Xenopus tropicalis: one gene and its partner. The protein of the gene in region 2 binds, or shares a complex with, the protein of the main gene of each other region. Links are inferred from orthologs where the notes say so. Each region holds a gene or a part of one and is shown on either strand. Other genes may lie near its edges.

Region 1 (4,206 bases), on a different chromosome or scaffold from region 2:
TAAATCGTCGCTATTGTGGACGACTAAACTCCCTGTAATGCCACCCCACCTGCAAGAATGTAAATCGCTGGTGGTATGGCATAAGCATTGCTTTGGTCGCCTGAAGTTGCCTCGCAAGGAAAACTGAAGTGACGTGTATGCTATCCCACCGGCGATTTACATAGTTGCCGCTGGGATGGCATGTCGGGGAGATTAGTTGCCCACAATAGTCAAGATTTTTTGCGGGCAACTAATCTCCCCATGTGCCACTGCCCTAAACATTTGATATTAATTTTGGTCAATTTCACCAATTATTTTCCCAAAATTAGCTAGACCCTACATTGTAAATAATGTGGCCCTTGTTTTACAACAAAACAATAGGACCTCAGAGTATTAAAAAAAAAAAAACTACATGACTTCATTTCAACCAGCCCTAGTTTGCACAAAACCCCTTTCCTTTCTGGTCAAATTGGAAAAAAGATATGCCAGATATAGTTAGCAAGGACAAAGTATATTTTTTATGCCTTGGTTGGGGTTATAAGCAAATACATAATTTTACTTTTAGTTAAATATTGGGAGCAGAGACTCTTGTAATGGCATGCACAGTGCTCCTGCACAAGTAGAAGCATTAAAAATGACGTCTGAAATATCGAGAACAGAGACTCTGGCAGGCAGGAAAAAAATGTGGTCTCCTGGCAAAAGTAAGTGTTCTATTAAGCAACAAATTGCTACCAACTACTGCGTGAATTGCATCAAACCACTAACAAATCACTTTCTTCCCTATAAGCAGACCCCCATAGCAGGCCGTGCTTACTTTCCCTACCTGAAGGAACAGCAAAAAATGAAAGTGTTTTAAAGGAATTAAAATATTGTTGCCCTGCAGTAGTAAAATGTGTATGTTTGCCAGAGAAACACACTATAGTTTATAGAAATAAGCTGCTGGGTAGCCACGGGGGCAGCCATTCAAGCTGAAAAAGGAGAAAAGGCACAAGGTACACAGCAGGTAACAGATAAATCCTGTAGAATATAATGGTGTTTATCTGTTATCTGCTAAGTAACCTGTGCCTTTTCTCTTTTGAATGGCTGCCCCCATGGCTACACAGCAGTTTTGTTCAAACTATAGTAGTGTCTCTAAAGCTAACACACCAGTTGTACCAGTGCAGGGGAAAAATTACATCGTAATTACTTTTATATACTTTCATTTTTTGGTGTTACTGCTCCTGTAATAACAGATTATGACTGCTAGTTAGACTGACTAGAATAGACCGCTAAGAATGACTAAGATCTTATGATTGTGCAACAACATCAACCATCCTTTGTCACTCCTCAAAAGCTTCAATTTGCGCGTCACTGCGCTTATATACGTGCAGTCGTGACGCCACGCTCTCGCGAGATGAGATTTGTGACGGCGGGATGAAGCTGCAGGCGGGAGCGTAGGACGTTTATTGCGTTGCGGGAAGTTTAAGTAGCGGTCGGGCACGGAGGTCTGTGTTAAGACAAATCGGAACTATTGGGCGGTATGTTGTTAGTAAAAGCAACAGAATAAACGCCATTTTAGAGGTTGTGTTGGGTGCGTATTGGTAGTAGTACTGTTACACAGGGCAGGTCTGATAAGTAATGTATTATCGATCTCTTGTTATTCCCTTGCACCTGCCAACATGTGAATTTCATATCAGAGCTGTTTAGTTGTTTGGCCAATTCGTTCCGCTGCATTTAAAGAGGTGGTTCATCTATAAATTAATGTATAATGCATATGCTATTCTTAGCAACGTTTCAGTTGGTCTTTTGTTGTTATCATTTTTGCTCTTCTGACACTTTCCAGCTAACAGTTAAAAATGCTTTCTGGTTGTTGGTAGGGCCAAACAGCCATTGCTCTGTGAGCCTATAATATTGTTACTTGTTAATAGTTATACTTCCGCTCTGGCCCTCTACTGTTCATCTTCTAATATGTCATTCAGTCCTCTTTCGGGTTGCTGGAGTAAATAAGACCCTAGCAACCAGTTACCCAGACCTGTGGCAACACAGTAGGGTGGCCAGGGCAAGGCCTGAAATCACTCAGCACAACCCCCTCCCTTAACTATTCTCATGTTCTTTTGCCCCACTGCTCTCCAACTCTCCAACCCCCACTCCCCCTTTCCTTCCACTCCTCTGGGCAACTCAGATCTTCTATCTGAACCCTGTTTAGCAGATAGGATGAGTGTCACAATGGTGGCAAAGTAAGTACCTGCCAAGGGGCCCCCAGTCCTTGCACCCCAATTCTTGACTTGTAATAACAGAAGTGTATAACTACTGTCACAAGTCATTCATGGGCTCTTACAGGTGGATTACAGGCTTGTCAGAGTAGGTGTGACCCGAATAGGCAGTCTTAAAAAATGCAAGATATGACATTGCCCTGAAAGGATACAAGTTGCCTTATGTTATTTGTTTTCTTCCTAGCTCCTAACCCACTTTTAGTCTGTATTCACTTTATTTTGTACTGAATTCTCCCTCCTGTGATAAGCATTCTTATCATACATACATAAATACATACATAGATATTTTTTAAAATCACTTTTGAATTCTGTTTTTAATTTTTGTCTAAATTTCATTTCCAATGCAGAAAAATGCCACCCAAAAAAGCAGCGTCAGGAGCCAGAAAGGCCCCAGCTAAAAGAAAGTTGGCTGAAGAGTTTCCTGCAGGGGAAGTGCTAACAGATTCAGCAAAAAAGCAATGGAAATTGGGGTTACCTATTGGACAGGGTGGATTTGGCCGTCTTTATCTTGGTAAATTTGTATTTATTTTGTAAATGGAATTGTGTTCTTATGTTTCACATTTTCTTGATGGATAGCACACAAACTTACAGGTACCACACAGCTGAACCCATTTTAATTCTATTACGTATGTTATATAACTAATATAAAGTAAACTATATAAATTCAAAATGGAAATGTCAATAATGTAAGATTTTATTTCTCAGCGGATGAAAATTCTTCTAGAACTGTAGGACCAGATGCTCCGTATGTCATTAAAGTAGTAAGTGGTTTTTCCCCTACTATTACCTTTTAGTATCCGTGATCTATTGGGTGATGTTATCATTGTAACTCCATCCTACCAATGCAATAGATAGTGCGAAAAGTTAAATAGACCTCAGTGTTAGGAGTATCCTTAGATAATTCAGTTTTGTCTAGAGTGGCCAAAACACTACAAACTCTAGTTAATTTAAAAGGCTATCCCTCTTGAATTATGGATGAATGGATATTTTTAATGGTTTGTTTACTAGTACATTGCTAGAATTACCGGTATGCATAAACAGAGGAATATTTTGCAGTAACCTACAGCAGTAGATACAATGTTATTATTCTAGTTTTATTTAAAGTATGTCTTTTTTAGCATTGAGCATTGGACAATTCTGTAACTATAGACATATACCTTTTTTTTTTTTAAAGGCCATATTATAAAACTACTGGAGGTGTTCCTTTTGCCTAGATTTTTTGTTATTATCATTCAGCTAATTGATCCTATTCAAAGCCTGTACTTATGAACTGTGGGTTTCCGTTGGATCCCTGACTGATATGGAATGAATGCTGTCTTATAAAGCAAGATGGAATGCCTGACCTAAAGCAAATGCCATATACATTTATGGATTTACTCTAACTACAGTTAATAGGATGCTGTTATATGTTAAACCATATTTTAAATCTGTAGGAACCAAGTGAGAATGGACCACTTTTCTCTGAACTTAAGTTCTACATGCGTGCTGCAAAACCTGACCAGAGTAAGTTGGACCTTAATATTGTCTGATTGTGCTTTCCCAATATATCAACAATAGATAACAAGTTACTACTCTACAGAGATTTTACCTTTCTCAGTGTGTAATTTTATTTGTTTTAAAACATTAACGGCATTTTCACAGCAATGCTGGGTATTTTATTTAACCTGAGTGTTAAAGGAATACTATTATGGGAAAAAGTTTTTTTTTTTTTTCTTTTCAAAATGCATTAGTTAATAGCACTTCTCCAGCAGAACCCTGCATTGAAATCTTTTTTTCAAAAACACAGATTTTTTTAATATTTAATTTTGAAATTACACATGGGGCTAGGCTAGCCATATTCTTCATTTCCCAGGGTGCCACAGCCATGTGACCTGTGCAATGGGAAGGTATCAAAATAGCAGCTCCCATTAGATATCAGAATAGCACTCAATAGTTAGAATTCCAAGTCCGGCTTGGGACTCCTTCAGTAGGAAAA
Region 2 (4,333 bases):
GCCCCCTACCCTGTATAACACACAGTGCCCCCTACCCTGTATAACACACAGTGCCCCCTACCCTGTATAACACACAGTGCCCCCTACCCTGTATAACACACAGTGCCCCCTACCCTGTATAAACACACAGTGCCCCCTACCCTGTATAACACACACAGTGCCCCCTACCCTGTATAACACCACAGTGCCCCCTACCCTGTATAACACACACAGTGCCCCCTACCCGTACACACACCAGTGCCCCCTACCCTGTATAACACACACAGTGCCCCCTACCCTGTATAACACACACAGTGCCCCCTACCCTGTATAACACACACAGTGCCCCCTACCCTGTATAACACCACAGTGCCCCCTACCCTGTATAACACACAGTTGCCCCCTACCCTGTATAACACACACAGTGCCCCCTACCCTGTATAACCACACAGTGCCCCCTACCCTGTATAACACACAGTGCCCCCTACCCTGTATAACACACAGTGCCCCCTACCCTGTATAACACACACAGTGCCCCCCTACCCTGTATAACACACAGTGCCCCCTACCCTGTATAACACACAGTGCCCCCTACCCTGTATAACACACACAGTGCCCCCTACCCTGTATAACACACAGTGCCCCCTACCCTGTATAAACACACACTGCCCCCTACCCTGTATAACACACACAGTGCCCCCTACCCTGTATAACACACACAGTGCCCCCTACCCTGTATAACACACACAGTGCCCCCTACCCTGTATACACACACAGTGCCCCCTACCCTGTATAACACACACAGTGCCCCCTACCCTGTATAACACACACAGTGCCCCCTACCCTGTATAACACACAGTGCCCCCTACCCTGTATAACACACACAGTGCCCCCTACCCTGTATAACACACAGTGCCCCCTACCCTGTATAACACACACAGTGCCCCCTACCCTGTATAACACACACAGTGCCCCCTACCCTGTATAACACACACAGTGCCCCCTACCCTGTATAACACACACAGTGCCCCCTACCCTGTATAACACACAGTGCCCCCTACCCTGTATAACACACAGTGCCCCCTACCCTGTATAACACACACAGTGCCCCCTACCCTGTATAACACACACAGTGCCCCCTACCCTGTATAACACACACAGTGCCCCCTACCCTGTATAACACACAGTGCCCCCTACCCTGTATAACACACACAGTGCCCCCTACCCTGTATAACACACACAGTGCCCCCTACCCTGTATAACACACACAGTGCCCCCTACCCTGTATAACACACACAGTGCCCCCTACCCTGTATAACACACACAGTGCCCCCTACCCTGTATAACACACACAGTGCCCCCTACCCTGTATAACACACAGTGCCCCCTACCCTGTATAACACACACAGTGCCCCCTACCCTGTATAACACACACAGTGCCCCCTACCCTGTATAACACACACAGTGCCCCCTACCACACAGCACAGATCGGTTAAAGAGACAGTGCCCGATACATAGAAGTAAATTCCCAGTCCCTCTGGGAATCCCACAAGGGGTAAGAGCCTGTGCCCAGTACCCAGGCTGTACCCAGGCAATACCCAGGCTGTACCCAGGCTGTACCCAGGCAATACCCAGGCTGTACCCAGGCAGTACCCAGGCAATACCCAGGCTGTACCCAGGCAATACCCAGGCAGTACCCAGGCAATACCCAGGCGGTACCCAGGCAGTACCCAGGCAATACCCAGGCAGTACCCAGGCAATACCCAGGCAATACCCAGGCGGTACCCAGGCAATACCCAGGCGGTACCTAGGCAATACCCAGGCGGTACCCAGGCGGTACCCAGGCAATACCCAGGCGGTACCCAGGCAGTACCCAGGCAGTACTCAGGCTGCACAGAGAGTAAGGATACGGTGCCAGAGCAGCACACAGGGGGCAGTGCCCAGCAGGCAGGGGGCAGCCGGTTTGCCACAAACAACACAGAATAACAACATAAAGGCCTCGGCCCCCCAGCTCCTTCCAACCCCCAGGGGCAGATGGGCAGCAGGTGCAGTGTGTGCCAGGAACAGGGGTGACTCTGGGGGGCAGCTGCCCACACTGGGCTCCTTACAGAGCAAGGGGTCCCCTGGCATTCTGGGCTAAGAGTTAGATGCCAAGGCTGGACATGTTACCCGGCTTGGGTACCCACTAGGGGGGCAGTTCTCTCAGCTGCCCTTAGGGCTTGGGTACCCACTAGGGGGGCAGTTCTCTCAGCTGCCCTTAGGGCTTGGGTACCCACTAGGGGGGCAGTTACCATTGGGCTGTAGCCATGCCAAGGGCCCCCCCAGGTGGGTAGAGGGGTAAGAGCGGACCCCCGGGGAGACAGGTGCCCCCGTTACTATGGTTATTAGAGGCCTCCCGGAGATGGGGGGTCCCACAGGGGGGGGCTAAAGAACTTAGAGGGGCAGTTGCAGGCCTCGGTGGGCAGGGGTTGCACAGAGGGGGGCAAATGGCTGGGGCTGTACAGGCCTCCCCTACCCCGGGGTGCAGGAAGGGGACAGAGGCGGCCCCGGTGCCCCCGGAGGGAGAAGCAGAGGAGAATGAACCCCCGGTTGCAGGCAGTACTGTCGGGGGGAGAGCAGGGAAGCTGTGGTGCCCCAGTAGCCCGGGCAGTGTCGGCTCCCAGCCCCGGGGAAGGCTCCCTACCTGCCGTGGAACCAGTCCTTGCAGGCGTCGCACTCGATCATGAATCGGGTCACATCGTAGGGCAGGCGGCAGACGCAGTAGACGGGCACGGTCGCCATGTTCGATCCCCGCTCACAACAGCAGCAGCGACAGCAGCAGCAGCGACAGCAGCAACGCAGGGAGGGAGAGAGGGAGGGACTGGGAGGGGGAGCCAGGCCTGACACACTGGGGAGACACCATCGGCCGAACCGGGCGGCTCAGCCCGCTACTCTGCCCTCCCGGAACCGCCCGGTACTGCCCCGGTACTGGTACCGCCGGGAACGCTCTGGGTACGGTCGTAAGTGCTGTTCGGAAGTACTGCCGGTACTGGTACTGTACTGCCCGGTACCGCCCGTATTGCCCTGTGTACTGACTGCTGATCCTGCCGGTACTGGTACTGTACTGCCCGGTACCGCCCGTATTGCCCTGTGTACTGACTGCTGATCCTGCCGGTACTGGTACTGTACTGCCCGGTACCGCCCGTATTGCCCTGTGTACTGACTGCTGATCCTGCCGGTACTGGTACTGTACTGCCCGGAACCGCCGGTATTGCCCTGTGTACTGACTGCTGATCCTGCCGGTACTGGTACTGTACTGCCCGGTACCGCCCGTATTGCCCTGTGTACTGACTGCTGATCCTGCCGGTACTGGTACTGTACTGCCCGGTACCGCCCGTATTGCCCTGTGTACTGACTGCTGATCCTGCCGGTACTGGTACTGTACTGCCCGGAACCGCCGGTATTGCCCTGTGTACTGACTGCTGATCCTGCCGGTACTGGTACTGTACTGCCCGGTACCGCCCGTATTGCCCTGTGTACTGACTGCTGATCCTGCCGGTACTGGTACTGTACTGCCCGGTACCGCCGGTATTGCCCTGTGTACTGACTGCTGGTTCTGCCGGTACCGGTACTGCTGTAAGCCTTGCCTGGTACTGCTCTGGGCACTGCTGATACTGTCGGCTTTTTCGATACTGGTTCTGCTGTCTGGTTTTAGCTTGGGTACTGGTACTTTCCCCATGAGTACTGTCTGGGGATGCTACAGGTACTGTAAGTTCTGCCCAGTAATACTGTGAGTACTGCTGCTGGCATTGGTACTGTCCGGTAACACTGCAGGCATTGGCATTGCTTTAGGTTCTGCAGGCTAATACATTGGGGTACTGGTTCTGTTCTATGGTGCTGGCAGATAATACTCTGAGTACTGTTACTGCTTTTAAGTTCTGCTGGGTAATATTCTGGTATTTTTGTAAGTTCTGCTGGGTCTTACTACTCAGGTTCTGGTACTATAGTAAGGGCTATAATCTGGGTCAGAGGTACCATAAGTGCTGTCCAGCTAATACCGGATTTGGGCAGTTACTGCCAGGAGTGATGTACGGCAGCGCTCCGAGTACTGGTACTTATGGGTAATACTACCAGTTGTACTGTCCTTTACTTTGGGTACTGGAACGAGTACTGGTGCTGCCCAGTAACTCTGTGGGGATTTATACACAAGCGGGCCGGGGGGTAGGTTTTCCATGTCGGTACCAAGCTGTTCTACACATTTGTTTTGCCCAGGGGGGTGGGTTTAGGCAGCAGAAACCCATTACAGAGGAGGCAGAACCGGTGTTGATCCAGAGTGACCATTACAGGGTGCACCCATGGCTGGAACTAGGGGGAG

Evidence for each region.
Region 1: the proteins of phf2 (region 2) and vrk1 are in contact, whole or in part, in a crystal structure (PDB 8F8Y), measured with the Homo sapiens proteins. The link is inferred for Xenopus tropicalis from reciprocal best matches to the Homo sapiens genes PHF2 and VRK1. Residues at the interface, in NP_005383.3 of Homo sapiens: Tyr7, Tyr14, Val16, Thr17, Arg18, Phe19, Met20, Ile21, Glu22, Trp29, Glu39, Ala42, Ile45, Asp46, Tyr48, Lys64, Tyr145, Ser147, Glu150, Lys175, Val178, Asp179, Tyr182, Ser183, Thr184; in NP_003375.1 of Homo sapiens: Pro2, Arg3, Val4, Lys5, Ala6, Ala7, Gln8.

The regions. Positions count from the first base shown.
Region 1 is NC_030684.2:89,325,957-89,330,162, forward strand, and holds the start of vrk1 (serine/threonine-protein kinase VRK1), read left to right. Parts: upstream 1-1,388; 5' UTR 1,389-1,496; intron 1,497-2,578; 5' UTR 2,579-2,582; coding exon 2,583-2,742; intron 2,743-2,936; coding exon 2,937-2,992; intron 2,993-3,664; coding exon 3,665-3,734; intron 3,735-4,206. UniProt on the Homo sapiens protein: Serine/threonine kinase involved in the regulation of key cellular processes including the cell cycle, nuclear condensation, transcription regulation, and DNA damage response.
Region 2 is NC_030680.2:152,120,949-152,125,281, forward strand, and holds the start of phf2 (lysine-specific demethylase PHF2), read right to left. Parts: upstream 2,839-4,333; 5' UTR 2,761-2,838; coding exon 2,663-2,760; intron 1-2,662. UniProt on the Homo sapiens protein: Lysine demethylase that demethylates both histones and non-histone proteins. Enzymatically inactive by itself, and becomes active following phosphorylation by PKA: forms a complex with ARID5B and mediates demethylation of methylated ARID5B.